Arabidopsis thaliana: one gene and its partners. The protein of the gene in region 3 interacts with the protein of the main gene of each other region in a pairwise test. Each region holds a gene or a part of one and is shown on either strand. Other genes may lie near its edges.

What was found.
Region 1: the proteins of RAN-1 (region 3) and NTF2A interact in a two-hybrid assay, tested with the Arabidopsis thaliana proteins (one study listed by BioGRID).
Region 2: the proteins of RAN-1 (region 3) and AT5G53480 interact in a two-hybrid assay, tested with the Arabidopsis thaliana proteins (one study listed by BioGRID).

Annotation. Positions count from the first base shown.
Region 1 is NC_003070.9:9,481,413-9,491,213, forward strand, and holds NTF2A (nuclear transport factor 2A), read right to left. Parts: upstream 4,591-9,801; 5' UTR 4,379-4,590; coding exon 4,082-4,378; intron 3,275-4,081; coding exon 3,203-3,274; 3' UTR 2,904-3,202; downstream 1-2,903. Other genes in the region: AT1G27290 (uncharacterized protein), read left to right, coding at 376-787, 1,148-1,164; AT1G27300 (uncharacterized protein), read left to right, coding at 1,912-2,052, 2,321-2,782; HK3 (histidine kinase 3), read left to right, coding at 6,368-6,874, 7,156-7,437, 7,640-7,809, 7,898-8,110, 8,207-8,393, 8,487-8,538, 8,653-8,882, 8,971-9,069 and 1 more. UniProt on the Arabidopsis thaliana protein: Facilitates protein transport into the nucleus. Interacts with various nucleoporins and with Ran-GDP. Could be part of a multicomponent system of cytosolic factors that assemble at the pore complex during nuclear import.
Region 2 is NC_003076.8:21,710,501-21,723,440, reverse strand, and holds AT5G53480 (ARM repeat superfamily protein), read right to left. Parts: upstream 10,197-12,940; 5' UTR 9,959-10,196; intron 9,434-9,958; 5' UTR 9,426-9,433; coding exon 7,012-9,425; intron 6,931-7,011; coding exon 6,732-6,930; 3' UTR 5,563-6,731; downstream 1-5,562. Other genes in the region: AT5G53486 (uncharacterized protein), read right to left, coding at 912-1,037, 1,148-1,212, 1,428-1,484, 1,553-1,619; ACBP1 (acyl-CoA binding protein 1), read right to left, coding at 11,050-11,226, 11,313-11,410, 11,492-11,583, 11,787-11,875, 11,998-12,100, 12,487-12,940. UniProt on the Arabidopsis thaliana protein: Acts as a negative effector of drought tolerance. Involved in the regulation of stomatal closure and in the abscisic acid (ABA)-mediated pathway that lead to drought tolerance.
Region 3 is NC_003076.8:6,758,388-6,768,835, forward strand, and holds RAN-1 (RAS-related nuclear protein-1), read left to right. Parts: upstream 1-1,706; 5' UTR 1,707-1,976; coding exon 1,977-1,979; intron 1,980-2,130; coding exon 2,131-2,200; intron 2,201-2,422; coding exon 2,423-2,479; intron 2,480-2,566; coding exon 2,567-2,684; intron 2,685-2,942; coding exon 2,943-3,360; 3' UTR 3,361-3,943; downstream 3,944-10,448. Other genes in the region: AT5G20000 (AAA-type ATPase family protein), read left to right, coding at 282-438, 550-648, 833-943, 1,023-1,163; RAN2 (RAS-related GTP-binding nuclear protein 2), read left to right, coding at 4,430-4,432, 4,559-4,628, 4,969-5,025, 5,107-5,224, 5,577-5,994; AT5G20030 (Plant Tudor-like RNA-binding protein), read right to left, coding at 6,584-7,180, 7,266-7,649; IPT9 (isopentenyltransferase 9), read right to left, coding at 9,552-9,651, 9,742-9,881, 9,968-10,043, 10,249-10,343. UniProt on the Arabidopsis thaliana protein: GTP-binding protein involved in nucleocytoplasmic transport. Required for the import of protein into the nucleus and also for RNA export. Involved in chromatin condensation and control of cell cycle.

The DNA of each region.
Region 1 (9,801 bases), on a different chromosome or scaffold from region 3:
ACGCGTCATAACTGGGTCCCATCTTTGTCTCTTTCCCTTCTTCACTCGCCAACCCCATCGCGTGTCCCCACGCTCCTTCCCTTTACTTTTTCTCGTTATCCAAAACACGACGATTCTTCATTTTAGATTTTTTTCATTAATAAAAAAAAAAAAGTCTTTTATTGCAGAAATTTCGATCGTTTTTGTTGTGTGTACAGAGAGATTATCGTGTTTTGTTGGCAATCGCCATTAAACCTTCTTCCCTCTAACCCAATCAAATTTGCGGCTCTTTCTTTTATCTTCTCGCCTCGGTTTTAGCAAACCCTTTAGTTATCTTCTTCCTCAAGCAATTTTTCTTTTGGATTAGATTGGTGTTTTCTTTTGGTTTGTGTGGTGATGATGAGAAGGCAACGAGATGAACAACAATCTAGGGTTTTCTACGATCTATCATCTCTTGTTTTGAATCTTCTCCGTTCTCCTCCTATGCCGATTTCTTTACCTGATCATTTCCCCGATCCGCCCGCTAGAATTCGTCCTCCCTTTTCTTCGCATCGTTTTTCGTCTTCTTCGCCTTCTTTGGCTCATATTTCTCCGTCTGGATTCGCGTCGTTGCTGCTTGGTATATCTGTGGCTCTTATGCTATGTGGATCTGTGACTTTCTTCATCGGGTTTCTCTTGATGCCTTGGGTTCTTGCTCTGATTTTGGTTTTCTATGTCGCTGGCATCGTTTCTGCCATTTCTATGGTCGGGAGGTCGATTCTCTGTTACGTCTTGACGCCACCTTCTCCTTCCGGAAAGGAGATTTCTGGTAATTTTGTTGAATTTTAGGGTTAAGTTTGTCAAATTGGTTTCAATGATTCAAGCTTTCTACTTTCGTCTCGGATCTGTTTAGATTTTAACCAAAGTTTCCTTATTGATCATCTAGAAATGATTCCACTGGGTTTTGGTTCTGTCCTTATTTTGATAGAAATGGAGGTTCGAATTAGGGTTTTATTGAAAAGCACACCGATGTTTGTTCTGTCTTTGACTGAAACGATATTGTTCTTTTGTTTCCTCGTGGATCATATTATTCATGTTCACATTACTTTTGTTGTCTGAAATTAAACCTATGTTTGTATTAGTTTCATGTTCTTGCAATAATGTTTGTGTTTGACATGTCTATTCGCAGAATGGAAGCTTCTGTGAAATGATTAAACAACAGAGGTGAAGAATCTATACATCATCCGGAAGCAGAGCAGAGCGAAGCAGAACAAAAAAAAGAAGAAGAAGGATTGATTATATAAACACATATATCCGATAGAGTTTTTCTATGTTCTTTATCTGTATTTTGTTGGGGGGGTTTGGGAAAATCATGTGGATATCAGGGAGTTTTATATTTCTTTACATTTCGAAAAAAGAATTTTTCTATTTAACTACTGTTAGAAATAGAGAAGCCTTGTTATTTGTGCTTTCATGTATGTCGTTTTTATGTAACATGATCATTTCTTAAAGCATACAAAAAGATTTTAGGATTTCTGTTGCACTTCTTTCGATTTCCTTGCATTTTCGAAACACTCTGTGTTGATATCTCTTCCTTTAAATCTTCTTACAATATTTGCTCATTCTTGATCTCTTTTATGGTTTTAAATAATTGTCTCTTCAAGTTCACACGGAATCTAGTGTGAATCGAGGTTTAGTCGTGCAGAGTTGTGTGTGTTATTACATGTTTTATTATTGTTTAAGTATATTTATTTAGTGGAGGACTATACGCTATTTGCACATCTCAATGTCAAATTGCTCAAAAATGGTAGAGGTGCCGTGCCGTCAATAGATGTCACGTGTCCTGACTTGCCTTCTCAATACAAACAAAAATACTCTCTACCTAAAAAAACACAATAAACAACAAACGCATCTTTGGAGCGGCGGTGAGATTAGAGAAGAAGGGTTTGTGAAATGGAGTCCAGTGAGGATGTGGAGAATCTGAGTAGAGCTATTGAGAAGCTTCTTCATGAGAAGAGGAAGAGAGAAGCTTCTGGTGACGCCTTCATTGAAGACGCTGATGATCAGCTTTTCCTCTCTAGCCTTATCTCTCAGGTACTTTACCATCGCTCTGTTTTCTCCTTTGTTGATTTATCTGATGTTGCAGCCAATCAACTTTCTGGGTATATGATTGAATCATGAGTATTTGAGTGAGTCTGTGTAATTGTTTCGCTGTGATGTGTCTGCTTCGATTTTGATGAGATCCAACAAATACAAGCTTATCTTCATGATTGTGTTTAGTTGCTGTTTCATGTCCACAACATTATTTGTATTGGGATGTGTCCATTTCAGGCTTGTGCTAATTTTTTTGCCAATAACTTAGTTGGAATCACCAAACCCCAAGGGGAAAGAAGATGTCATAACCGGAGAAGAAGAAGAAAAAGAAGAAGAATCTGCAGATTCTTCACCATCCAAAGGAAAAAGCGAGGGCCAGAGACAATTGGAAGAAAGTATAGAAGAAATAGCTAAAGACATCAAGAAGGTGAAGAAGCAGAACAAAATAACCCATGTACTTCTCTCGGCTACGATCATCCTGACATTGGTTTGGCAGCTCTCTGAGTACTCCATGATTTTCATGTTGAAAGATAGAATAAGCCACCCAGTCAGATCCATCGGAGGTATGCTTAATGGAATGTTCAAAGGTAAGTTACGTCCAATCAAGAACCAACTTGCGGGGACTTCCAACTCCAATGACCAAAACAACCATGGGAATGGATCACACACTGGACCTCAACTTCAAGTGCCCGAGCTGTTGCGAGAATTCGGTTTCGACGATGAAGAATGATAGCTTCCCTTTGTGACTCAATAATACCAGTTGTTATTTAGGAACAGGGGTCACCCTCATTGTTTCTTTGCTTTTAGTATAAGTAGTTTACTTTTATATGATCAAAATGCGAAAGAATAGTTGCTTTCTCAAACTTTTCCACATGAAAAAGGGTTCCAAAAGAGAACCGTATTTCAAAAAATCTTTTGTTTTACCCTTACTGAATCATGGTTCAGTGCCCGAAAACAAAAGGAGTCATCTCAAACAAAGTAACAAATAGCTCCATTGATTAAAATAAAAACAGACAGCAAACCACCTGAAACAAAGCTTAATGTTCCAAATCTAAAACCAACTCAAACAGTTTTTGAATAGTCCCAAACTTTCCACCACTCTCTTTTCAGCTTCCAATAATGGTTCCATGTACCTCTGGCATCAAATTCCTCAGGCATAGTTCAACCTGAATATGTCATTGAACACGTAGTAGTTTCCCTGATTCGATATCAAATGGAACATCTGGACACAAAACACAAGTATGTCAGGAATCAGGCAAAATCCAAACAACAAGCAGTCATCAGATTTATGTTACAATCATATAGTGATCCAGTGCGTGATTCACAACACAAGAGATGCATACGTAGCTCATTACAAGTAGGTCAAGTTGACAGAAATTCATCCCACTTTGCTCTATACATACATTCCACAAGTTTGATGTTCATACAAATATGATAACAAAACACAATTAGTACCTTGATATGAAGAACTAAAATGACAAAAACATCTCTTATCGAACAAATCTAGTAAAGAGCGTTCAACACTAAAAAGAGAAAACAATGTCTTACGGCAGATGATACAAACACTGCAAGCATCTCAAACTATTTAGAGTTGAGACAATTTAATCAAGAAGGTGGCATATCTACAACTACAACAAGATCACATATGAGCATAGTTGAAAAAAACTAGCAGAATCATGGCAAAGCAGTTTCCCAATACTACATTCACGAAGTGCAAGGAGATAGAAGCTCCACAAGACAAAATCTAAATGACACAAGATTACATCTACTGATCTACGCAATCATTTGGGGGAAACCTCTTTTATCTCCAACCTTATCACAGATCTATCACTAAATGCATCAGGGAGGGTCTAAAATTTCGAGACAATTCCAGATCATTGAAGCTTTTAGTGACCTAATACACACATCAATCTACAGAGCAGTAAGGATAAAAACCCTATCGTACATGATCAACAGCGAGGAATACAAAGGAAACACTAAAAATCGAAGTGATCTAAACCCAAGGGAAAGAGATAAGGCAAAAAAAAACCTGGCTGAACTTGAGAGCGTGTTGTTCACCAGCGAGCTGAAGATTGCCGGAGACAAAGACGAGCATACCACCGGCGGGACCAGAAGGCTGACAATCGACGGTGGTGATGTTGTGCTTACACTGCTGGAAAGGGAGGCCGGTGAGCTTAGCGACGATGTTCTGAGAGCCCTGGATCTTCTGGCCTTCGAAGGTCAACATGGATCCTTCTTGGTATAGAGAAACCAACCCTGGACGATTTGCATCGAAGGTGGAGTAGTAGTGCTCAACGAAAGCCTTTGCAACAGCGTCTGGATCCATCTCTTTCTTCGTCTTCCTTTTTGATCCTTAGCTCTTGCGTCGTGCTTTTTCAACAGGCGAGAGAGGATCGAGAGGGTTAGATAATTTACTGAAAAATTATACGAATGGACCAAGACTAGAGATACTGAAATGAGTGTTTGACGATACTTTAAATGGGCCTTATATTTTTCAAGTTGGGCCCGTTAATATATGGGACAATCAACAGTATAGCTCAATTGGTAAATTGACTAACTTCATTTGATTCCTACACCATTTAAAGATTTTTAATCAAATTCTGATATAACTAAGATAATATTTTAAAGCATTTAACTAACATGGAAAATTATGAAATGAAATATTAATTTTGGATAGAAAATTTAAAACATTTATCTTTGTGAAATAAAAAGAAAGTCTCTTATAATATAACTTGTAAAGTAATCCTTTAAATTCTAAAAGATCTAAAACAAAATGAGTTAAATCCTATGTCTATGTGTTGAATCTGGAAGATCGAGGTGGAAGAAAAAGGATCATGATTCATGGGTGAGAGAACAACCGTTGATTGGTGTGTTTCAACTTTCAAGCAATCCCATTTTAAAAAAATAAATTTATGTAAGCAATTGCAAACAAAATGAAATGATTATGCTTTAAGATATCGACACGTGTAAAACAGATGACGTACCAAGAAAATAAATGATTCTGTATTTTGTTTTAGCCATTTGTTTTTTCTTTAAAGGAAAGTGTATGTTGAAATTGAAAAAACAAACCGAGTTATATATATAGAGTTATTTGACTAAAGAAGGAAGCTTTGGTTAAACTAACTTGTATAATTCTTTTGTGTAGTTTAGTTTTGATAAAATGGCCAAACAATTTTGGTCACTTTACCAACTACTGCAAAAAAACCATTTTCATAATAATAAATTGTAACACGCCTTTTATTTTTATTATTGGAGGGTGAGAACTGAGACCATATATGCCTTTGTTCCCTTCTTGTGGGTCCCTTTAGCCTTTTTTTTTCTTTTGCCTGCGCCGTTTAGTGTTTTTTCTTTTATATATAAATAGAGGTAAGTTATTTTACCAATCATTTGGTGTTATTAATAGTAGTATTAATGAGGTTCTAAACTTGTTTATAAAAATCAGATCTTACTAAACAAACTCAAAGAATCTCAACTATGAACATTTTTCTTCTAGAATCGAGTTTTAACATCATCATCAGCAGGATATAATTTTTTGTGTTTGAATTTTATCTGTATTTTTTTTAGGAGTACATAAGCAGCTTAAGATTAAAATATATATTAATGGAAGTATGAATGAAAAAAGAAAAGAAAGATAATCAGATAATAGAGAGAGAGAGAGAGAGAAGGAAGCAGACATTTGTCTTCCACCATATTCTTCTCATCTTTTCCGATGATAGATTCTTCTTCTTCTTCTTCTTCTACTACTACTTCTGCTCCTCTTTCTTAAGTTTCTCCATTTGATAATTCACTCAAGTCTCCAGCTCCTCTTCTTCTTCTCGTTGCTTTATTCGCTCTCTTTCACTCATCATCATCACACTCAAAGATTTCTGTTGTATTGGAGCAAGCTCTAGCGAATTTTCGTACTCCCCTTGTAGAATTTTAGTTTCCTGTTTTAGATTTCGAGGAATCTCGCTTTGGAAACTTTAAGCTCCTGTTCAAAGTTTCTACCTTTGTTTATTTTGTTTTTGTTTTCTTCTCTCTTATCTTTCGTCATCTTTGATTAAGTAACCACTTTGATCTCTCAATTTCAGCCTTTGGGTTGTCTAATCTGACACGTTCCTCTGTCTTAGCTTTCCTTTTCTCTTCTCGTTTGTGGGAAGCCTACAAGGATTAATTATTAAATACCCAACCCCAAAAAATTCTTCCTTTTTGATTCTCTGATTCGTCCCTTTTTGTACATGGTTTCTGTTTGGTTGTTAGAGCTTCTTGCTGAGTTGAATTGAGCTGGTTGCAATCACTCTGTTTCTTGGGGGTTGATCGTGTATTCAAGTGGTGGATGAGTCTGTTCCATGTGCTAGGGTTTGGTGTCAAGATTGGGCATCTCTTCTGGATGCTATGCTGCTGGTTTGTTTCTTGGTTCGTTGATAATGGGATCGAGGACAAGTCTGGTCTTTTAGTTGGCTCTGTCGGTGATCTTGAGAAGACTAAGATGACTACGTTGAAGAAGAAGAACAAGATGTGGTTCTGGAATAAGATCTCTAGCAGCGGACTCAAGATCCCGAGTTTCTCTTATCAGTTTCTTGGCTCTGTTAAATTCAACAAGGCGTGGTGGAGGAAGCTTGTGGTGGTTTGGGTTGTCTTCTGGGTCTTGGTCTCTATTTGGACGTTTTGGTACTTTAGCTCGCAAGCTATGGAGAAGAGGAAAGAGACGCTAGCTAGTATGTGTGATGAGAGAGCTCGTATGCTGCAGGATCAGTTCAACGTTAGCATGAATCATGTTCAAGCCATGTCTATCTTGATCTCAACCTTCCACCATGGCAAGATTCCTTCTGCTATCGATCAGGTATTCTCGATTCCGCATCTTCTTGTCTTCTAATCTGTTTGGATTGATGCCTGAGATCTAGTCTTGCTTGTAGTACATAAGTTGTTCCTACGGTGTAGTATATGAACGGTCCTTGGATGATGGTAGCTTTTTTCATTCAACTTGCTCTCGAATTTCAGTTAGGATTTACAATTTTGCTGATTGTTGCTTACAGTCTTTGTATTTAGCTAACACTTGGTAGCTTGATTCCTATCTTCTTGAGTATTAGTGAACAGTAACTAACATTAAGAAGCTTTGTGTAGAGAACATTCTCAGAGTACACTGATAGAACTTCCTTTGAGAGGCCTCTTACTAGCGGGGTAGCTTATGCTATGAGGGTGCTCCATTCAGAGAGGGAAGAGTTCGAGAGGCAACAAGGTTGGACTATTAGGAAGATGTATTCTCTTGAACAAAACCCAGTTCACAAGGATGACTATGACCTGGAAGCTTTGGAACCATCCCCTGTCCAAGAAGAGTACGCTCCAGTCATCTTTGCTCAGGACACTGTTTCTCACGTTGTTTCTCTCGATATGCTGTCTGGGAAAGTAAGCTTCTTTACTGGTTCTAATTTTACTGTTTTTATGTAATTTACTATCATGGTCTACACTCACTACCGGGCGAATCCTGCCGACATGGCTAGTTCATATTTCAATCTCGGCTTACCGATTAAGTTGTTTTGATCATTTTATTTAAAGTTTAGAGCACTGTTTTAACTGATACTTATTCTCACTCAATTCCTCTTGATAGGAAGATCGTGAAAACGTTTTGCGGGCCAGGAGTTCAGGTAAAGGGGTTTTGACAGCTCCTTTCCCATTGATAAAGACAAATAGACTTGGGGTGATCCTGACATTTGCAGTGTACAAGAGAGATCTCCCCTCCAATGCAACGCCAAAAGAGAGAATTGAGGCTACTAACGGGTGTGTAGCATAGGCGTCTAAATAAATAATAACGCATAAGTTTTACAACATTATTTTTGCTCATTCATCTCTTTTGATGCCCCTGAAGGTATCTCGGGGGAGTGTTTGACATTGAGTCCCTGGTAGAAAACTTGCTTCAACAGCTGGCTAGCAAGCAAACGATTCTTGTCAATGTGTACGATATCACCAATCACTCTCAACCGATTAGCATGTATGGTACAAATGTGTCGGCTGATGGGTTGGAACGTGTTAGTCCACTAATCTTTGGCGATCCATTGAGAAAGCATGAGATGCGTTGCAGGTACTTGCAGTTGGCACATACATATGTCTGTAATTTCTTCTTGTTTGCAAGAATCCAGGTGCTAACATTTTGTTGTGAGCTTCTTCCTCTTTGTAGATTTAAGCAGAAACCACCATGGCCAGTGCTATCAATGGTGACATCATTCGGTATCCTTGTGATTGCGTTACTTGTTGCACATATAATCCACGCAACCGTTAGTCGAATACACAAAGTTGAAGAAGATTGTGATAAAATGAAGCAGCTCAAGAAAAAGGCTGAAGCAGCAGATGTTGCAAAGTCACAGGTAAATACATCATCCTCAGTTGATAAATTTCCACAGCATATTAAACTTTCTATGACAGAGAGAAGAGTTGTAATCTAACTTTTTTTTATGCAGTTCCTTGCCACTGTTTCACATGAAATCAGAACTCCAATGAATGGTGTTCTAGGTGAGTATCGAAATGGCCACTATGTTGCCTCCTTCTCTCACCTATGCCCATGAATATTTTCTGAAGAACAAACTTAACCAAATATTCTCATGTTGACTTTGATCTGGGGTGTAGGAATGTTGCATATGCTTATGGACACAGAGTTAGATGTTACGCAACAGGATTATGTTAGGACCGCACAGGCAAGTGGAAAAGCTTTAGTCTCGCTAATAAATGAGGTTTTGGACCAAGCAAAGATTGAATCTGGAAAGCTTGAACTTGAGGAGGTGCGGTTTGATTTGAGAGGAATATTAGATGATGTCCTGTCACTCTTCTCTAGCAAGTCCCAACAAAAGGGGGTGGAGGTAACTTACTATATGATCTGCAAAGCAAGGGTTGTAACTGATAGCAAGTCTTTCTTACTGATTTTTTGAGTGTTGCTGATGAACGCAGTTGGCAGTATACATATCTGATCGTGTTCCAGATATGTTAATTGGTGATCCTGGGAGGTTTCGACAAATACTCACAAATCTTATGGGTAATTCCATTAAGGTAAACTTTTTTATTATGTTTTTTTCTGACCATTCCTTGCATCCGAGTTGATCAACGGAGCTGATCATTTATATATATTCTGGCAGTTCACTGAGAAAGGACACATCTTTGTAACTGTTCATTTGGTGGATGAGCTATTTGAATCTATCGATGGAGAGACAGCATCATCTCCGGAAAGTACACTGAGTGGGCTTCCAGTTGCAGACCGGCAGAGGAGCTGGGAAAACTTTAAAGCTTTCAGCTCCAACGGGCATCGGAGCTTTGAACCATCTCCCCCTGATATAAACCTAATCGTCTCAGTTGAGGATACTGGCGTAGGGATCCCTGTAGAAGCGCAGTCCCGTATTTTTACGCCTTTCATGCAAGTCGGACCATCCATATCCAGGACGCATGGAGGCACAGGAATTGGACTTAGCATAAGCAAATGTCTAGTTGGACTGATGAAGGGAGAAATTGGATTCTCGAGTACTCCCAAGGTTGGGTCCACATTCACATTTACTGCTGTATTTTCCAATGGGATGCAACCAGCTGAAAGAAAGAATGACAACAACCAGCCCATATTCTCGGAATTCCGGGGCATGAAAGCTGTGGTTGTGGACCATAGGCCTGCAAGGGCAAAAGTCTCGTGGTACCATTTTCAGCGTCTTGGAATTCGAGTCGAAGTAGTTCCACGTGTTGAACAGGCTCTACATTATCTGAAGATTGGTACTACCACTGTGAATATGATACTCA
Region 2 (12,940 bases), about 15 Mb from region 3:
AGATTTGTTGACACAAAGATGTATGAAACTAAGTAAAGGTTGAAGGATAGGAGTCAAGAGAGTTATGAGAGGTTGTATAATCGATTCTTGTAAATTCTGTAACCAAACAAAAGGCGTTTTCTCTGTTTCTCTTCAATAATTTACATAGACATATTTAAGTGTTAGTATGTGAATTTTATGTATGCTTGTGAAATATGTATAACCATAGTAACTAGTCTTCGCTATAAATATGTAAGAGAAGAGACAATGAATAAAAGCGCATCTGGTGTAGTGGTATCATAGTACCCTCCCACGGTACTGACCAGGGTTCGATTCCCTGGATGCGCAACTGTTTTAATTTTATATTTGTTTTTTCATTTTAGTTTTATATTTTCTTTTTTTAAATCAACCATTGCAATCTTGTTTCATTTGTACTATGTTATTGTAATAGCGACATATAAGGTTTTAGCTATGATAAGCATAAAATCTGTCTTCATTTCTTTTTCGTTTAGTGATCATGCTGATAAAGAGTTTTTTACTATGTGTTTGACTGCATAAGATTGAAATCATCAACTAATGTGAAATATTGTAGAAGACGCATTTATAATAATACTATACAGAACTAAAAATAACCATAACACTTTATTTATTTTCTGATATAACGATTACACAGGATATAATGGCTATATTATATATGTCAATGAAATAAGATGATAATAAATAAGGATTTATTATGTCTTGTTATTAGACACTAATCCTTTCACTAGCGGGTTTCCGAAGGGTATTTTACACTGAGCTCATCCTCAAACAAAAAGAGTCAGAATGGAGGATACATCACATACATATTCATATATGATATATAGATATTAGTGCATGTGCTTATATATATGCTACTATATATATAATGACAGAGATAGTTCTGTGTTGATGATTCAACCCTTGCCTCCGGGCCTTCTCCTTGGGTCGTGTTTAGGGTTGGGTCCTGCGTCGTCGTAGTCCGCTGTCGAGTGGAACATCAACTTCCTATGACCCATCTTCTTCACACCCACCTCCTCACTCTTTTTAATTATAAACACATAAATTCTTGTCAATATTTGGACATTAACAACATTTCTAATGTTGATAAGAACATATATAAACGTAAAGCATCTACATGTATGATGTATACCTTGTAAAGCATGGAACTCTCATGCATCTTCGCACCGTCGAGCTGGATAGAGCCTTCCACTATGGCTAAAAGAAAACACTCTGTTAGCGGAATATACATTGTTCTTTAAGTGACTTATTTATTTCAACCCATACTAGTTAGTTAGATGTGTTTTAATTTTGGAGAAAGAATGGAAAAAGTGTTCACCAATATAATAGTAATTAATAATCAATGGTATTAAGGTAGTTTAAGGCACTAGATTCAACAACGAAGAAAAGACTAATGTTCAACAAGATAATACCAAAAGCTGATCTCGGACTAAGATGGATGTGTTGGGACGCAAGGTTGATAGTCATCCCTTAAAACAAAGTTAAAAGACTATAAATTGAAAAGGATGGAATATATGAATATCAATTATATGTTTACCTAATGATGAAGAGCATATAATGAGAATGAGGAAGAGTAGAGATAGGGGTTCAATCCTAAGAGGCATATTATATGGTTTTTGATGATTACTCTTTGTTCGTTTAGGGGAGAGAATGCAACTAATCAATGGAAAATGAGGACAAAATGGATTTTCATATGAGAAGATGGGGAAGGTTAGTTCCCATTTTATAAACGGTCAAGTTAATGTGGTGGAAACTGTTATGGTCCATGTATAATATTAGTCGTAATGGTGATGATGATGACTATGACAATGATGATGACCATGACTAAGATGGTTGGTTCTGTTTATGACAATGAAAATATGTAAAGCTCTTATCAATATAACTTTTTAAAATAAGAATATCACGTAGATATCGATTTTTTTTATATATCACAAAACAATTATCAAAAAAAGGTGAAAACAGTGGTGAGACTACTAACATCAAAATGGTGATGATAGTAGCAAGAACAAAAATGAGAAGAATAAGAAGTTATTGGGTTAACGCAATGAACCTACAGGCCACAAACCCTAGAAAAGGTTGAAAAAGTCAACTTAACTGTTGATTGTGTTACATCTCCCAAAAAGGAACACTTAACGCTTACCTCTATTTATGCTTGTGGACAAAAATCGTATATTAGCTAGTAACCTCACTTTTTTTCTTAACACACTTTTCCTTATAGCATGACATTGTTCAAATTTCAAATTCTGTATATCGTTTTTATCTTATGATTATGTTAATTAGACCGTACTAGATATACTATAGACAAAAGTCACAAAACTTTAACTACCAAACAAAAAGTTGACGTTTCTTTTAATTAGCCTTTTTTTCTTCTGGCAATCAATTTTTGATGATAGATAAATAGTTTATCTATATTGTTAATTTGCCAGATAGGAAAATGTAATTAGGAATAACAAGTTAAATCTGAGTATAGATTACTAACTGTAAATGTTTGTGAACCAAGTGAAGTGGGAACCATCAAATACTTGAATTAGAGTAAGTTGTGCCCTAAGCCATCCGAAAGGTTATATATGTGGATCAAATCATAATGAAAAAAGGTTTGTTTGATGCAAGAAAAGTGACCTAATTCATTAACTTGAGTGGAAGTTCATCTCTTGACCATATAAATTTTCATTATATCCTTTGAGTTTCATTAAAAAAAGAAAACATTTTTTTTTTATTTTACAATTTTAATCGGTTTGATCTCAAAACACTCTCTATTATACTAGTTCTTATTTCTAAGTGATGTTTCATTTTAGATGATTTTAGTCAAAACCAATATATTTTCTTAAAGGAAAAGTTTCATTCTGGTTACATGATCGATTTTAATCTAAGTTTTAACTTTTAAGCCCATTGTTTTCACCACTTTTTCCCATACAGCTGTAATGTATCATAGGTTCGATGAGTGCAGCACCACGTGTGATCTTAAGTCTACTTATTGACGCAAAATTTTATTGGAAATTGAATTCTGCTAAGATAATTGGGTCCATTATCAAAAGTAAAGATGGAATCATACCAAACTCGTACGTAATTATTGTAAGTTTTCAATGCTGTTAATGAATCAAAACGAAAGCGAAGATTTGTATCAAGGGTACACACTTTTCAAACAAAGACCCTACAAATACCCAAACTTGAACACACTTATTAATCCAATGATTATTTTCAAAACCTTTTAATCCAATTTCTGTTTGAAATTTTGGTTGTTATATTTAAATACACCATGTACAGTTGACATATTAGAACAAAGATCAGTACTAGTAAATTAAAGTTTAAATGTGGAATCAAAACATTTTCCTTGCGGTCAATGTAAATTTTACAGGGATCAAAATAGATAGACTAAGTTCAGTAAACTTCGATCACATAAACCAACATGGTAGGCAACTCCTAGACAGGGGAATAACGTAAGTAATTAGGAAGTCAAAAGATGGTTAGGGCAGATTTTAAAATCCGTGGTACCAAACACTAAATAATTTGATACAAATAAAGAGAAATAGTGGAACTAATCCTTCCATTTCGGCCTTCACAACTTTATAAGAAGTCAACTAGGATTGAGACAGACATAGCGAGTGGCCTGCAAAATGTATCAGAGAAGTGCATCTTTTTAAGTGACCCATTATTATAGTGAGAGACCACTATCCCCCAAAATCTTATTTTACAATTAATAAACATCGTTCCTCATAACATTATGTGTTTTGACCTAAAATCCATAATTCTACTAAATCCCAAAAACTAAAGAACTTTTACCCCCAAAAAGTCACCATATGAATGGTTATACTTATATATATGTGTGTGTGTATTGCACCATAACCCATATATTTTAGATTAGAAGACTTTATAAATCCCCTCTATAGATCCTTTCATATAAAAAAATGGTTTCGCACTTCAACTTTCTTAACTGGTTAATTATTTCCATCTTAAAATGTTTTCTCACAACCTCCAAGTAAATATCTGCAGTTTTCTATAAAAAATAAAATGAAACAGATTCTTTTTCAGCATCTGAATATGATAAAAACTAATATAGACTACACGTACATTAAACCAGCTAAACTGCTTAAGTAGAATCGTTGTACTATCTAAAACATTATTCACTTAACAGTTAACACATGTACGTGCAGCTCTTCTGTCCGAAGACTATGCATGACTTCACAAAAAAAAAAAAAAAAAAGGGAAAGTTCGTGAGTAGGGAAATAATCAATGTGTCGGCAATTATATGTTGCGTTTAAAAGGAGTGATGAATAAGAAACCAATGAGCCACTAAATTAGCAATGTTTTATTGGGCAACAACGTACGTGTCTTAAGTCTTAACTTCTGTTGTCCAATGTCAACTACACAGAAAGACGACGAAACGTACATCTATTAGTCTTTGACAAAAAAAAAACGTACGTCTATTAGTTAAAAAAAAAAGAGAACAAAAACACAATTTCAATACTAACATAGTTTACAACGCGAATAATAAATCACGAGACACCCACAACTAATAATTTCACTACTTTTCTTAAATATTTCCTTCGTTTTAAATTTTTAATATACAATTCATCTCATAAGTGTAGTTTTTTTTTCTGTAGAAGACGGGAGACTAAAAATTATAAGAAAAATTACAAACTTACTTGCCTTAGGCGCACATACCCAATAACATCATCGCTTAAGAGCGTATCAACATTAGAAGGAACAACATCAAAAAATGAAAGCCATCAGGCAATGAGAACGCATAGTTAGATCTATAAATGTAGTTTGAACCAAAGTTCTAGTTTTTATCCATTAAATTAGCTTATATATTAGGTTTTCGTTGTCCTACTAAACGAATTAATTTTCTTAAAAAACATCCGTTTTTTTTTTTTTTTCAGAGTTTTCTTTAATGGCGTTCATCTTCTAAGAAAGTATTTACTAATCATTATTATTTTTAAAAATGTATTGATCCGTAACCTTAAGGTAAAATGTGTTAGATAATAGCTATTGAAAGAAAAATTGGAGTTATTTTTTGTCGCAAGAAGTTCATGCTTTAATCAATAATTATGTTTCTTTTGACTAATAACTTGGATCGTAAGATTTTCTCCTTTTTTTGGCAGTTTCAGCTGACGACGCTCATATATCTTTCGGTGCTATTTCAGTATTGCATTTAAAGACTAAAGGTAAAGTTTAAAGTCGCAAAATAAAGTATTAACGCCGTAATGAAATTATTTGAATATGAAAAAAATCGTCGCGGACGACAAAAATGTTTTTTTTTTTTGTGTGTGTATCAGTGTATGTGATATATGTGGGTGTGCTTGGACAAGTCCTTTGACAATAAAAAAGGCCCACTTCGTATTACCACCATTCTTTTTCAACTCCCAATTTCAATTCAGAGTGGCGTGTCCTATTTCTCTTGGATGTTTAGCCATCATCTATCTTTTATGTGTTTTATTGTCCATTTGAGTGAGATTTAAATGGGTATGTCATCACAATGAAAAAAAAAAAAATACCAACAGAACCAACGTTTCTCTCGCCTAAATCATCAATTCGAAAAAGATATGTCGAATGAATTATGACATTATATATTTAGTTCAAGAGAAAAATTCTCGAGACGTCAGAAACATGGTTTGGGACTAATACATAGAACCGAGAGAAACTAATTTAAACCATAACTTGAATGGTCTAGAATGTTTCAAATACACATGAAAACATTTTTCAAAATATAGGTTCGGTATCAGTTGCATTTGGCGTTTGGAAAACCAAAAAAAAGCAACACATACAATCAAAATTGAGGTTTCCATAAACAGCGTGAATGTGAAATGTTCTTCGATCTCTTAACTTGACTCTTTGGAAGCAGAGTAAGGCAGGACGTTTTCTCCTATTAACATGTGCCCTTTCCCATATAGTTCGAGCCAAATCAAATAATGGATTCTAAACGATTGTAAACAGTTCCATAGTAAAATGAATAGATGTGGACCTCTTTAAGACCCTAAGACATGACACCATATAATAAAAATGTTCCTGTATGTGACATTTGAAACTTGATTGCAAACAAAACACAAGTATATATGCAAAACCCCCTAAACTGCATCATAGCAAAGAGAAGATAGACAGACATGTGAAACTTCTTTATATAAAAATAAAAATGTGAATAATGCTTTTAATCAAACATACAAACCCCCCCAAAAGACAAAATGATGATGCAAAGACTGCAACTAACCAAATAATAAAAGAAAACAAAAGAAAAAATCAAGGGATTGTCCTCTAATAATGCCCCCACTTGATAAAAACCTGAGACCTCTCCCTCCTCAAGGGGTTGAAGAACATATGAGAGAAAAGAAAAAACAAGAATGTATTATGAGATGTTCCATGAAACCTTTTTTTTTTTGGTATAACTTTGTCCCAAAACCCACCAGAAAACGACCATGACTCACTTCCTCCTCTTTCTACTCCCGGGGATTTAACCTTACCCGGGAAACTTTCACCCGTGACTCTTCCAGTTTCATTATTTACCCCAAAACTCATCATTCCCCACATCCACGACTCAACGATTCCCTGACTGACCCCAGTTATGCTGATGATGCAAATGAAACTGATGCTGATGATGCTGATGTGACTCGGATGTTGCAGCTCTACCCCTCCCCCCGACCGACTCAACCCACCCAGAGATGCATGCAGACTTTACTAAAAAGCAAAAGGAATTTTCTTTCTTATAGGCAAAAGAAGAGCCTTCAAACAGATATGGCACGGGTTATGGCATGCTTCGCCCATTCGGCTGCTTCTTTAATTGTGTGGTCTTCAGAAGACAAACATTCGTTTAAGAACTCTTTACTTGACACTGACTGTTGTATCAAACCACCCACATGACTCCCTAGTGTATCTGCTAAATCTCCTAAGACCCCAATCGCTGTCTTCATCACCACCTCGTCCCTGTCCCAAGGCAATTTTACCACAAAATTAAACAACTGCTATGACATAATAGAAATTCAGTTGGGTCGTAACCAAACTTACATGTCTTTCTCCATGTATATACTGTCCAAAAACTGGAGGATATGGGGTGCGAAAGGAATCAGGAGCTGGGTTTTGGCGGAGTTCTTGAAACCTTGAAATATGCCTGAATAAGCCTCAAGGATTCCGTTTCTCAATGAGTTTGTGTACTCCGTCATTTCATCATCAGCTCCAGCCGAGTGAGCAGATAACTCTGCGGCACTCTGAAGCATCGGCATTGAATACCTCCAGTACTTATCAAAATCCTCACCGATAGCAAGTGCTATGTCACCAAAACAGGAGAATATCGGTGGCTTCACTGATCGGTGCAATTGGTTGCTCGACAAATCTTTCAGAAGCTGTGTCATAATCCCATCGCAATAAGGTAAAATCTTGTCCTCCAATGCTCTGCAGACATCCCCAACAACACCAACAGTAACAGCACACACTTGGTATTCTTCAAAGTTTTGAAGACCCATCTCCAAGTACTTATAAAACTCAGGCATGTATTTGGCAAAATTGGGACCTGCTGCATAAGCAAGAGCACCAATGGCAAGCATGGCTTCCTCATGTGCAGTTGCACTTCTACAACCAAACACCCTCAGGAAAAGTCCCATCATTTGGTCTGCATACTCCATGAACTTAGACTTGGTTGGTTCAGATCCTAATTTCTGTATGATGACCTGCAAGCATCCACATAGAAGTCCCTGCAACTCGTTTTGTTTCTCCCTCTCATCCAATGAAAGCTTTTCCCCTTCCAAAGTATTGTGAAGCTCCATCATTATCACTGGTACTAATTGCAGAACCATGGTAGACGTTTCATCAGTTGAACACCTGACAACTTCATTCAATGCCTCATATGCTGCAGTCCGCAAGCGTGATTCAGTTGCATCCTCTCTGTGTGCAACAGCTAAAAGTGACTTAATAATTTCCTGGAAGAAGGGTGTTAACGGAGAACTGGGACCGATATCCTCATAGCCTTGAGCAAGGAAGTACAGAGCCCCACAAGCCTTCTCGGCAACATTAGGCGCATCATTCATGCTCTGGATGAGTACTGTGATTATCTGCTGGCAGTTTGCCTGATTAATAATAGGTGTCTCGATTGTTGAACCATGAAGGAACTCAAATATCCGACCAAGGGTCCATGCGGTTGTGTCTTTCACATGGTTGCTTGGGTCATTTGTTAGAGCATTGAGCATAAATGTTAACGCTGCGTTAACAATTGCCATCAACTTATCGGCAGAAGGGCCTTCCAAAATGGAACCAAAAGCATAAGTTGCAGCTTCTCGCTCTCTCCAATCAGGCTTTGATATTTTCTCTTCAATAAACGGCATGACATGTGGAACAATGTCATCTCCAACTGCCCTAGCAACCAAACCGAGGCATGTCCCACCTGCCATTGCAATATTCCAAGCCCCTTCATCCAAATCTTGATCTTCTTCTTGCTTCAGAAGAGTCTCCAGCAGTAGAGGCACAAGACCAGGGAGAGCCTGCTTAGTAAAATAAAAGCATGGAACATCAGAATCCCCAGCGAACTCACCACCATATTCTTCTAAGATGTCAATCTCTTCGTCACAAATAGAACTCCAGAACTCAATTGCCTGTAGAGCAACAGACTCGTCATCTTCTCTTACAGCCTTAGCTGTGATGTTGAATATATCTTGCATGTAATGCGCCAACTTCTCATAGTATGTGGAAGCGATAGATACCAAACACTCAAAAGCTGCCTGCCTAATTTTCACCTCAGGGGACAGGGTTGCTTCACACACAACTCTCATGATATAATCACGCTCCATGTCGTTGTTGAAATTTGCTTGGGCGAATCCGAGAGCCATGTATAAAGCACGGGTTGCAGCAAGTCTAACATCAGTATTACCTTCAGCAGCATTCATACCCTGAACAACAGCTGTGAGTATCTTATTTACATGCTCCTGTTCAACAACATCAGGTGACACTTCTTCACATAGGTATCCAAGAGTCTCCAAAGTGGCTTGCTTGACATGAGCAGGTAACTGGTGAATATTTGAGAGAAGAGACACTATGAGCTCAGGCCACTGCTTCTGTGGTAACTCAATACCTGCAACCTTAGCAATGACCTGAGATGCAGTCGAACGAACATCAGGCACAGGTGCCGACAGTGTCTTCAACAAGAAAGCTCTGATCTGCGACTTTGTTGACATGTCTAGAGCCAACCATCTCTGAACAAGCTCATACTTCCTGTGTTGTTCCTTAGCATCAAGAGCATTTTTAAGGACTAAACCAGCTAATTTCCTGCTATCTACTGGCTTCTCATCATTCGCAAGCTCTCCAGCAAGCGACAACAAGAAACCCGCAAGGTTTTGCTCCTGAAACTGCTTAAGACTTTCTTCCGCGTGCTTACGTACAGTTCCATCAATCGACTGAGCATTAATGAGCAACTGCGTAACCTCCATTGCCATAGGTTTATCTGCAACAGAAACAAACAGATTCAGCAAAACTGAAAATAAAGAAGAAGTAAGACAGAATCAGTAAATTAAGCCAACAACATGAAGAAACTCGTCAACGATCCAAAAAGCCATAAAGGTGAAAGACTACTAAATCACTATGAATCGAAAAAACCATGTAATAGCAATAAGAGATCAAAGCACGAGCCATTGACGCTTAAAAACACTGTCAGATTCAACTATAACAGCCAGAACAACAGATCCGAGCACGAAATCGAATATAAAACACGAAATCAAACTAGTTACTAAGATGACCAAATCAACAAGTTAATAGAACAAATGAATCTAACTAAAAAATCGAAAAGCAAATCTCAGATTACGAACGAGTTCAAATCATAAAACAGTGAACAAATCGAAACTAAAGTTGGAAATGGATGATTGAACGAATCGAGATCGAATCAGGAAAAAAAAAAAGCGAATTGGGAAGTGATGAATCTGAAGATGGATCTTAGGGAGAAAGTTGAATAGATGAAGTGAAGAAGGGTAACCTAGAATCTCGGCGGCGGCCGATCGGATAAAGCGGAAATCGGGGACTGGAGAGGACAAACCCTAGAAGCCCAGAAGGAAGAGAGAGAGAGAGAGAGAAGAAAAAAATCAGTTCCAGCGAAAAAGGGAAGAGAGAGAGAGAAGAGAAGAGAAGAATCGGATGTGAAGATGGACTTTAAATTTTATTATTAAACTTTTAACCAAATATTTATATAAACAAATAAAAAAACTGTTTTGAACACAAATTATGTAAATCTATTAATTTTGAAATTGTTTTCCAAACTTATATATATTTGTACTCAATTGTATATTTAGGTTTTGTTCAGTGTATCCTAATATTTTTATAAAAACTATATATAGGAAAATATCTTTTAAAATTACCCAATTAAAAAAAAGTTGTATAAATCTTCTAAATATGAAAATTTGTTTCCAATCATAATTGTTTGTTCAGTGTATCTTATTTTTTTCAAATAAAAACATAAATAGAAAAAAATCTGAATTACCCAATATATATATAAAAAGGGAAAATATTTTTCTTTATGATTTTTGCACACTAAAAATATATTTCTGATTAAAGAATTGATATAATCTGGAGTGATTATGTCGTACATCGCGTGTTGGGTGGTCCTTATCTGAACCCCACCTTATATATTCTCATCGTTAATTAATCAACGGTCCGGATTGTTTTACAGCGAGATGCGAAGAAGAAGATTTTTTTTCTTTTCTTATTCCGAAGGTACAATTTGTATCATATTTAAAATACTTATAAATTTTACAAGTAATCAACAAAATTGTTTTACAGGTATGATAATAATGATTCAGATGGCTGAAAAAACATGAAAGGGTCACGAACGAAAGAGAGAAACATTATACTAACAAAAAAAAAACTATTATTGAGTTATGATGATTGATGATGATGATCTCTCTGGGTTCAATATAGTAACCAATAAAAACTAGAGCTACTATATCATATGTAACTTGTGTTGTTGTATGTTAAAACATAAGCTTAAGAGGAAGCAAAGAGGCTCAGAGGAAATGTAAGAAAAACACAAGCATCTAGCTTTGACACACAATTTTAAAGACTTAAAAAACACTAATTGGAATCCTTCTTCTCTCGCATCCAAGACCATTCTGATTCACAGAGATCAAGAGGCGAGTTTCCGTCTTCGTCTTTAATGGTTGTATCAGCTTTCTGCTTCACCAGAAACTCGGCGAGTGCTTCTCTTTCGCACACAACAGCATAGTGTAGAGAGGTTTGGCCTTCATTGTCCTGCACAAAGTTTGTCAGCGACAAAAACATAAAAGTCTGTAATTGAGAGAAAGAATTAGTTTAGGGGGTTTTGGTTATTTATTTACTTTAGCATTCACATCTGCGTTCTTATCAACCAGAGCTTCAGCAACGTTAAGATGGCCACGGTCTATAGCCCAATGCAGTGGTGTTCGACCTTCACTATCTGACATTTCCAAGATGGAGAAACTGTTAAGTTTCCAAACCAGATCCGAACATTCTGTGAAAATGATACAAGACTACTAACCTCTTGCATTTACGGGTATGCCATTTTCTATGCATTTCAATAGATTCTCGACTTCTCCTTCTCTAGCAAAGGCGTGTATGGCGTCAATCTTCCTGGAACATGGAGTAAGAACGCAAGAATGAACAGAGCTTCTACTATGATTTAAACTAACACATGATTCTTTGATCTACCTAAGGTGAGTATTATGATATATACATTCCTTCTCTGATCTAGTCAGCTAGTCATATAGAGAAACTGAGAAAAGAAAACCAAAAGTTCATAGATGAATCTGTAACTAATTGCTTAGGAACCTTACAACTCATTGTCAGATTCCTCTTCGTACACCAATGAGCTAAAAACCGGTCCCATGGGGCCTGCAGCCTCACCACTCCGATTTCTTCGTTTCTAATAGTCCGCAACGAAGCAAACAAGCCAAGAAATAAAGACAGATTTAAGAACGAAAACAGACCATCCATAAACAGTCCAAAGAAATGGGAATAACAGAAGCAGGTAAGAAGACAACTAACCGAGCCACCTTCAACCCAAGCTGGGTAAAGCTGAGTAACAAGGTCGATATACTTCTCCATCGCTTCCTCAGGAGGCATAGCACCCAATTTCTGCCATGCTTGCCTAGAACAAAAAAGATCATAACAAATCTCAGTCGATCAAAATGCATCCCTAAGTTACCAATCAACAAAACAACAAAAGCAAATCCTTTCGGTACTCACACAAAGCAAGATACATCCAGGATGAAGAATAATCAGTACATCACAAGTAAACATGATTAAGTAACAATCTTCACAGTCATAAGATTTGAATCAGATCACTAATCAATACACCAACAAAAGCAATCCTTTCCATACATTAGCAATGAAAGATACGAACTTGGTGAAATCAAAATAATATACATCCATGATCAAGAAACATCAGTACATCACAAGTAAACATGATCAAGCAATCATCTTTCACAGTCCCAAACATTTGAATCAGAGAATCAATAAGAGTGTTAGACAAACCACTTGGCACGAGCAGTCATTTTAAGAGCTGATGGTTGAGGAGCAGTACAAGGTCCTTCAGTAGCAATTTTATACAATCCATAAAGCTGAAGTTGCAACTCATTAGAAACTTTCTGCGAAAGCCTATCCGATGCAGCAGCAGCAACAAAAGCCGTAGCAGCACTAAATGCCTCATCAAGTTCTGTACTTTCGACACCTTCCCAATCATCATCATCTGATTCATCTTCATCACCTCTCAAGCTACCTTGCTCAGCTATAAGAGAATCAGTCTCGCCGCTAATCCCAGTTAAAGTTTCGACCTTTCGCAAGTTCTCATACTCCGATTGAGTCGTGTGGTTACGAGTGAGTGAGAGATTCTCGTCTTTAAAAGCGAGGAGGATAGAGATTAGCTTAGCGAGAAGGTAAGCGAAGATCAAACCAAAGATTATAGACTGTGCAAGCTGATACCAATCAG
Region 3 (10,448 bases):
CGATAAATCTTTTACATGCCCGTGCTTAGTAGCTGTAGTGGACATGTGGAGTAAAATAAATTGAGTAAATTGTTCTCTGTTCCTGCTATGAATATGGTTTCAACATGTATACGATCTCAAGCATAATGATCTTTACAAGTAGTCTCGATGCCTAGCATTTAGGCCACAGTAATAGTCTTTTGTAATGAGCAAAGTATACACCATTAATCATCTTCATTGTGCTGAAAAATACTTATTCCAGCTAGCTTACCTTTCTAGTACCTCTGGCTTATGGTTTTCAGGGAGCATGCACCATCAATCATCTTCATGGATGAAATCGATAGTATCGGGTCTGCTCGTATGGAATCTGGTAGTGGAAATGGTGACAGTGAGGTGCAAAGGACTATGCTTGAGCTTCTCAATCAACTTGACGGATTCGAGGCGTCAAACAAAATCAAGGTATGCCTTATGTTGTGAATGAAAAAATAGTCATGAAGCTGAAAAGGATAACTCTGTGTTACTCTGAATTTCGCAGACAAAGTTGTTAATTCTCTTAAATGACTGTTGCAGGTTTTGATGGCTACAAATCGTATTGATATTCTGGATCAAGCTCTTCTCCGGCCTGGAAGGATTGATAGGAAAATTGAATTTCCTAATCCTAATGAAGAGGTAATGCTTGTGTTTCTTAGGACATGATATTAGAAATAACTTTAAACTTGAAGTAGCAACTTTGCTCACTCCGTTGTTTTTGGTAAACTATCATTTACTGCGTAAAATACTTTTCTCCATACTTATTGTACCCAAAGTGAGGCAGGACGGTTTGGCTAATGTATATTTCTAATATGTGTTGCAGTCACGTTTTGATATCTTGAAGATACACTCAAGGAAAATGAATTTGATGCGTGGAATCGATCTGAAAAAGATTGCAGAGAAGATGAATGGTGCTTCAGGTGCTGAGCTGAAGGTAAGTGTTTCTCTGTCCCTGCTTCTGTCTTGTTCTCTCCAATCTGTCTCTCTCTAATGTTTTTGGTTATTACGGTCAGGCTGTATGCACGGAGGCGGGCATGTTTGCACTTCGTGAGAGGAGAGTACATGTGACTCAGGAAGACTTTGAGATGGCTGTGGCGAAGGTAATGAAGAAAGACACAGAGAAGAACATGTCTCTGCGTAAGCTCTGGAAGTAGGAATTTCAGAGTCACAGATTAATTTCGATTATTTCTTCTCTACTGTCTGTGGTTCTTTCTGAAACCTTTTCGGCTAGCGCTTTAAGCTTTTCTAAACAATGTTTGTACACTAGTTTCTATTCATTCAAATGGTTGTTCAGCATAACATCTTCGATTCAACCAAGCTTACATTTTACATCTTAAGAGTATATTCTTCTCCAACTCAGTCTCATTAGCTTAAAGAGAAAACCAACTAAAAGATTGTTTGAGACAAAATAATCGACATAGCTTTGTACCTGAGATCCACCGCTGAGGTCAATAGTGAGTGATTTGAATTTGGAGTGTACATTAATTTAGAAATTCAACCCATCTGGCATGTGTCAAGAATAATTTGAAAACTATCCGTTATGAACAATAAAAATCCTTATTGATGAATGGTGTCTATTATTAAAAATTGAGGTATAAATATGATAAAGAAAATAAATAATTTATTTTGTCAAAACCAACGCGTATATATTGTAATGAATTTAATTTCAAAATTTGCTAAATGTGAAAAAAGGAAAGAAAAATCAATGCCGATGAATGAGTACGCGTGGACCTAAAGCTAGAAAAAGATCCAACGGTGGAGAAAGCTGCGTTAAAATTGCAGAAGAACCAAAGAGAAAGAATCCAACGGCCAATAGTGTAGCGTCAACTCAAAGCCAAACCCTCCCAAATTTCTCTTTTAAAAACCCCAATCTCTCTCTCCCTCTCCATCTTCATTCTCCCTCTCGCCGCTTCCTTCTTAACACCATCGCCTGAATTCGCTCTCCTCTAGCTCGCGATTGCGAAAACATGGTACATGTTCTCTTCGATTTTACCGATTTCTTCTTCGTGTATTATCAGATTGTATACCTTGATCTAGGATTATCTCCGTCTCAGATCTCACGAGATTGCGTCGATGTTTCCATGTTCTAGTTTCTAATTTCGTCGTGGATATATTTTTCAGGCTCTACCTAACCAGCAAACCGTAGATTATCCCAGCTTCAAGCTTGTCATTGTTGGTGATGGAGGCACAGGTACGGTACTCTTCGCCGTGTTTTTTTTTATCGATTAATCAATGCTTGGATTTACGTTGATGGTGATTGGGGTGATAGAGATAGGCTCATATGCTAAGCAGATTTTGCTAGTCGACTCTTTATAATCCGTACTGTTGTATCCAGTGGCTCAATTGATTTCAAGTATGGTAATGTGTTTTGATTGTTTTGCTAAACCTTTGATTGCTTTTGGTGGTTGTGCAGGGAAGACTACTTTTGTTAAGAGACATCTTACTGGGGAGTTTGAGAAGAAGTATGAACGTAAGTATTGCTTGTGAATGTTCAGATTTCTGTTCTTCATGTCTCTTAAATGATTCTGATTTTGAGTCGTAATCTTGTTTGTTGCAGCTACTATTGGTGTGGAGGTTCATCCATTAGATTTCTTCACAAACTGTGGCAAGATCCGTTTTTACTGCTGGGACACTGCTGGACAAGAGAAATTTGGTGGCCTTAGGGATGGATACTAGTAAGTGTGGACCCTTTACTTTCTCATTGATAGGTTAGTGTCTAGAGTCAATCTAGAGTGTGCTTAGTTTGGATTAGCTCTGGTTAGGATTTGAAATTGGCAACCGATTAACCTGGACAATGGGTATAAGACTGGTATGTTTTGAAGTATGCATAGTTTGCAACTGATTTTGTTACCTGGACAAATAGAGTAGAACTTGAATTTTAATTTTGATATTCCATCTGGATGTATAGCTAATCATCTTTGAATTTCTTGCAGCATCCATGGTCAATGTGCTATAATAATGTTTGACGTCACAGCACGGCTCACATACAAGAATGTTCCGACATGGCACCGTGATCTCTGCAGGGTGTGTGAAAACATCCCGATTGTTCTGTGTGGGAACAAAGTTGATGTGAAGAACAGGCAAGTGAAGGCAAAGCAGGTTACATTCCACAGGAAGAAGAATCTGCAGTACTATGAGATATCAGCAAAGAGCAACTACAACTTTGAGAAGCCTTTCTTGTACCTTGCTAGAAAACTGGCTGGAGACCAAAACCTTCACTTTGTGGAGACACCAGCGCTTGCTCCACCAGAGGTTCACATTGACATTGCTGATCAGCAGAAGAACGAGGCCGAGCTCTTACAGGCTGCAGCTCAACCCCTCCCCGATGACGATGATGATATCTTTGAGTAAATCATCCTTCTAGAATGTCTGCCGTGGGAAGCTCTTGCTTGTTCCTTTTGGTTTTCTCTATGTTGTTTTGGTGTTACATATAAATCAATCGGTCTTTCTTATAACAAAAATTAGGTATGTATTTTTGGATGGTTCTTCTGATGGTATCCAAAGCTAAGTTGTTTCTTCGCAAGAATATTAGTTGATTGGAAAACTTTATTCTACCTCCTATTACTTGCCAGTTCTTAGATTTCAGATGCCACTCTTTAGCTACCAGGTGATGTCATATAAACCTGGGTAAAATTAGCTGCAAGTAGATCTTGTTGGGAGACCTGACCTGCATTGACAATGGTTAAGTTCTTTGCCTTCCCCGATCTCTCTAGCTTTGCAGATTCTTCTGCAATCCTCTTCCTTTTCTTCTTTGAAACTTGATCTTCTTAATCAATCCGCACCAGAACTTGTAGAATAATAATCGGATAACTTTTTGTTTGGCAACCATTCTTGCATTGAAGAATGAAGTAACCCTTTCCCTCAAATCAACGACCGATTTCAATCCGTGATTCCAGACATTTTCTTCAACCGTGAGCTCTAAGACCAATTTCTGCAAGTTTGAGCTTAAGAATTTATCGATGTGTATATTAATTTCTGGAAATATTGTTGGTATTAATATGTTACCATTAAATTTGAAAGGCATCATTAGATGGATGTCATGTGAGTGAGTACTTGAAATTTTGAAACTATCCGTTACGGACAATAAATCCTTATTTAAATGATTTGTTAGTAAAAAACTATGCTACAAATAAAATCAAAACTTCACATACGATACAGGAAATAAATATATTATTTATTTTGTCAAAACTCAAAACCAGGACCTAAAGCTGAAAAAAAAAAGATCCAACGGTGCAGAAAGCTGCGTAGATATTGGAGAGCCAAAAGATGGAATCTAACGGTGGAAAAAATAGCGTCAAACCTAAGCCAAAACCTCCCAAAATTCTCCTTATTAAAACCCCATCTCTCTCCCTAGTCCCTCTCGCCGCATCGCTTCTTAAACCTCGACGACATCAACGTCTGACTTCGCTTCTCCTCTCACATGGTGAACATTCTCTTCTCTTTTCCCGATTTCTTCGTCTTGTAGTATTTAGATCTCACGAGATCGCTTAATTTCGTTGATGTTTCTTTTTTCGGATTTTACTGAATTTTGTTGTGATATCTTGTTCAGGCTCTACCTAACCAACAAACCGTAGATTATCCTAGCTTCAAGCTCGTCATCGTTGGTGATGGAGGCACAGGTACAGTATTCTTCGCCGTGTTTTTTGACCTATTGTTTTTTGTGATCTCTGAAATTTGATCGTCTTTTCACTGTCCCCATCTGAAAGCATTCTCGTTTAAGAGACGGATTTGAGATTTTGATGATGTGCTGATTAGATTTGTACGATTGGTTTTTGATAATATCAATGTTTGATTGGTTTTAAAGAGAACCTTACAGACTAGGCCTTCGTTGAGCAGATCTTTGGGATATCGATTCTTAGATGATCCGGAATGTTGTTTTCATTGGCTCAGTTTTAGTATGGTTCAATGTTTTTGATTAGTTCTTGCTAAACCTATGATTGCTCTTGGTGTTTTGTACAGGGAAAACGACCTTTGTGAAGAGACATCTTACTGGGGAGTTTGAGAAGAAGTATGAACGTAAGTATAGCAAAGATGCTTGTGAATGCACAATTTCTGTGAACATCATCTGATGTTGAGTCCTAATCTTGTTTGTTGCAGCTACTATTGGTGTGGAGGTTCATCCTTTGGATTTCTTCACAAACTGCGGAAAGATCCGTTTTTACTGCTGGGATACTGCTGGACAAGAGAAATTTGGTGGCCTTAGGGATGGATACTAGTAAGTATACATATCTCCATTGATATGTTTGTGTGTATACTCAATCTAGAGTGTGTATAGTTTGGATTAGCTCTGGTTGGTTTGTGCGTAAAATTGGCAACCGATTTGTTACCTGGACGGTGGGAATAGGAATCGTATGTTGTTGAAGTAATCTGTTAAGATCTCAATATCTATTAAAGTTTGCATTGTTTTGATTAGCGCTGGTTAGGTTGTGAAATTCAAGAACCATCTCACATGTCATGTTTGCAACTATTGTTACCTGGACAATAGGAATAGCTGACTGGGACTTGAATGATAATGGTTTGTTTGATATTCCATCTGGATATATTGCTAATCTTCGGTTTTCTTGCAGCATCCATGGTCAATGTGCGATAATAATGTTTGACGTCACAGCAAGGCTCACATACAAGAATGTTCCGACATGGCATCGTGATCTTTGCAGGGTGTGTGAAAACATCCCGATTGTTCTGTGTGGAAACAAAGTCGATGTGAAGAACAGGCAAGTGAAGGCAAAGCAAGTCACATTCCACAGGAAGAAGAATCTGCAGTACTATGAGATATCAGCAAAGAGCAACTACAACTTCGAGAAGCCTTTCTTGTACCTTGCTAGGAAACTGGCTGGAGACCAGAACCTTCACTTTGTGGAGTCACCAGCTCTTGCTCCACCAGAGGTTCACCTTGACATTGCTGCTCAGCAGCAGAATGAGGCCGATCTTGCAGCTGCTGCAGCTCAGCCTCTCCCCGATGATGATGATGACGCATTTGAGTAAAATCTTCCAAAAATGTCTGCTGTGGTTTTCCTCTATGATGTTTTTTGAGTTGATGTTACATATAAATCAATCGGTCTATTTTAGAACCAAAATTGGGGGAATTATTTGGATTGTTCTGTTTTTTGGGACCCAAAGAGAATTTGCAGTCAAGTTTTTTCTGCCTTAAAGAATATGCGGTTATTGGAAAACTTTGATTCTACCCACTTTTCTTTTACTTTGCCAGTTGCAACATTTTAGATTTTGTAACTATTGTAGCTACTTGGTCATATGAATCAAACATAAAAGGAGAATATTTAGCTGTGCTACTTGAAATTGTTAGTTTAATCACTAGTGTTTCAATTACGTACACAAATCTTCTCATCTCCTTTTTTATGTATAGCTTTTAGGCCATGGCATGAATCATATATACATTGCTAGTCTTCCTCAAGTCCAACGCAAAGATAAAAGAGTAAAGATGATCAAATTTTCTTTCACAAGTTTGGAATTAAATCAAAAAACCTGAATGAAAAATAAAATGACATTTGTACAATCTACACTCAGTTTTTATTCTATGTAACACAAACTGTAGTTCTCAATGCTGCTGCTGCTGCTATCTGTATATAGTACTGTTATCGTCAGAGATAAGGTTTCTTATCTGCATCAGATGTTCCTCATTCGAAATGTTCAATTTGAGACGGAGATTTGTAATCCACGTTTCTTGTTCCCATGTTATGATTGGTCCGGATGCGTGCAATCTCTCGATACTGCTTCGGTATGCATCCAGCTCTAACCTATGAACATCAGCAGCCTCTGAGCCTTTTCTTGGAACCACCAACTTCTTGACCTTCCCGTAGCCACAAGACGATGACTCTGTGTCACTAGAGTTACCGGTTTCAATGGGATTGAATGAAACAGCACTGAGACCATCAGTATCCATGCAACAACTACCAACAGAAGAAGCAACACTCTCTCTATCTTCTTCTTCTTCTTTCACTTCTTCACGAAACCTTGGAGGATAAGCAGCTAAAGCTCTAGTTTGATTGTGAGGTTCAACCAAAGAGTAAGTCCGTTTCTTTAGACCTACTGACAAAGGTACATCAGACTCATCAAGCTTGTCTTTGCTCTCAGATGAAATGTAGTCGCCTTTCGGATTCACCTTTCTCCTTAGTTCTCCTGTTGAAGTCTGTGCGCTTAATCTTGATGTACCCTTCAGCCAAATGGTAAAATAAACAAAATGTCAGCTCAAAAACAGACTTTAAAAAGATATAGTCACAGAGGAAAGAAACAAGTACCTGTCCAATCATGATCCACTCGTTATCTTGCCAAGATTGTCTAACCCGAATATCGGATTTAGTCACCTTGAACTTCAGTGAGGAACCAAGTAATCTAACCAAGAAACAACCGTTTCCTAAAACCTTGGAAACGATTGCCATCTTCCACGAACAACTTTGGAAAACCTCAAGAATGTCACCAGGACACCAAGCATCAAGAACTTGTAAACGAGGAGGCTCAGGCCTCATACTCTTCCTCGGTACCCTCTCTGTACCATCATTATGATCATACATGACAGTGTAGTAATGCCCATTTCCTGATATGATCTCTGCAGACCGCCAGGCGCCAGATGGAACCGATGATTTGCTCAACACTTCGACTTTAGTTCCCTTGTTGAATCTCATGATTGCTGCTTCAAAAACACCTTAAAGTAAATATCTTTTCACATTCCAACTGCTTATAAAGATCAGAATTGAACATCACATATGCTAAAAGGCTGGTGCTTCACAATCATTAAGCAACAAAACAAGATAAATACATCCAAATATCCAGAAACAAGTTGGACCAATAAGATCCATTAGACTCATTCACATCCAAAAAATTCAACTTCAACCAATTGGTATAAAGATTACAGATTGTTTTGCTTCATAATCACTAGATTGCAGAAAAAGTCCTAAATTGCAAAAAACCAAATCCAGAAGCATACAATGGCTTGAAATGTTAATGAAATTGAAAACAGAGTATGACTCAGTTCCTAGGATCAATCTTCATTACTGAGAAATTGATTAGGGGAAGAGAATCAAAAATCTTTAAGCGGACATGAAGAGACTTAAAACTCAAAAATTCAAATTAAAAAAAAAAGAAAAAAAAAATAAATTTGAGATTGTGATTGTGATTACCTGAAAACGAAGTTTTAGTTTTTAGGTTAGTGAATGTTTAACACGCAAAGAAAGCCATGAATGATTCTACTGCCAGAAACAACAAAGCTTTGTTTTTTTTTCTTTGATATTTCTGGGCAACCAAACTTGGATCAAAAGGGCAAATAAAACAAAATTAAAAACGTATATGCAAATAATTATCAAAAGGAACAAAAAAGATAAATGTATATTCCACATCAGCAGCAGCAAGCCAAAAATCATTTTTTAAATGAAAATATTTTTAAGAAAATGAAGAAGAGAATATTTCAAGTTGCATGAGAAATAGCCTTTTTGTTTCATTTTATTTGATATGGGACTATTTTGTGTAAAATAACCAAAAAAAATGTAATTTGATAAGTGAGAATAACTTGATGGTTTGTTGGAAGATATGTAAAAGATTAAAAGTTGAATTTGTTATGTTTTCTTATATTTGAGATATCTAAAAGAGAATTGTTTCAACATTAATTAGACCTCTATGATTTGGTTTATTTTTCATAGGAGTGGTGTATAGCATTTAATTAATTCAATGAATGATTTTGATATGAGTTGACCAAAAGAAAAAGAAGATTAATTGGAAACATGATGTTGTAATCTAGGTGTTGATCAGCCTAAGATAACACTAAACATAACGAAAGTGCAAAATTTATAAATTTAATCACCTTATCTGAAAGTTATCATTATTTTGAGACTAACATATCCCTTGCTCGTCTTATTGGTTCGACATATCAAATACTTACACACTTATGTACGTAATTATAGGATAATCATAGTCTGTAATTCATAGTATAACAGTTTATCAATATGTATTGACGTTACGTTATTTGTTTGTTTCTAGGTGAGCACGAGCAAAGTGCGTGTTCCGGTGTGCCAAAAGTTTCGACATATTTACTTAATTTAAAAACAGTTATTAGAAAAAGAAGGAAAAAAAAACGTAATGGGGATGGTCAGGTCAGGTGGCTTTACATAATTCCCAATTCACTTTTGAGTTTTTGGTCATAAAAAATATTATCGAGATCGTAGGGTCCATATTTTTTGGCTTCTAACGATCAAATTTTATATTTTAGTTTGTCTTTCCCTTGCAGTACTTATTCATATCTTCTTGATTTCACAACGGATTGTGTCATCACCTGAACAATAGTGTTAGAATTATTTGAATGCGACTCCTAATGGTTCATAAGATTTTACAACTTTTGAATTTCTCTTTTTTGGAAATCATTATTGCTTCCTAATTGTATGAGCTCATGAATAAAGAAGGGTGTGCAATATTTTCTTCATACGTGTACTCAAGAACATGATCCAAAATCTTGTCTACTCGTAAAAAGTTTATAAGCAAAACACACTTTTGTTTTGGTTTTGGTTTTGGCTTTTCCGGATAAAATGAAGCAGTGTTTATGCTATTGCGCTTTCCACGCATGAAGCTTCACTCTTACATCCTTCACTCCTGATCCATTCTAACACCGAAGAACAGTCCTCTCGTCTTACGAAATGCCTTCATTAAGAGATTCAACCCATTACCAAACGAAGAAGAATTTAATAACCAAAAGAAAGCCTAATTTAGTGTTATGTTTGATCTTTGTACCTGTTTTTGGAGCGATACCCCTTTAGTTCAGAAGCTTCTCGAGAATCTCTTACGTCTTTGCTCATTCTTAGAGACTCCGGTATCTCCACCATCTCTGCTTCGCTCTCATAAGCATCGTATATGCATTGAAGTATTGAATCCTGCCAGAACAATGAATTATCACAATGCTTGGTTGATAGTATATAAGAGACTGAATAGAACAGAGAGAGCCCTCTTAAACATATACCAGAGGTTTGGAAGCATTGAGCCAGTGGTACATAGGCTCACACCGGAACCATGTCATTTGCCTTTTTGCAAAGTTTCTGCGTATCAAGCAAACCAAGTATTAGTTTAAAAGCGATAAGAGAGGATAACATGGGTTCTTTAAACTTTTGCAGGAGACAAAAAGTGAAGAAATGAATCAATGTGAAAGAATCAAAACAGAACTTCGACTTTCATTTATTCTCAATCACTATTTCGTCCAAAAGCTAATACACTAGATATTTCAAGTCTATGTAGAGGATTCACCTGGATGCTGTCTGAAATTTGTTCAAGAAAGCATAAAATTCTCTAGGGGAACTTTCGCCCTCATATCGACGACATTGTAATAGATATTCCATGGCCTGAAAACAAGGAATCATATTTCCATTGTTGATCAAAAACGGTATCAAAGTACGACAAATAAATTGCAATGATGAAGTCGTAAAGTATTTCATTTTTCCAACTAA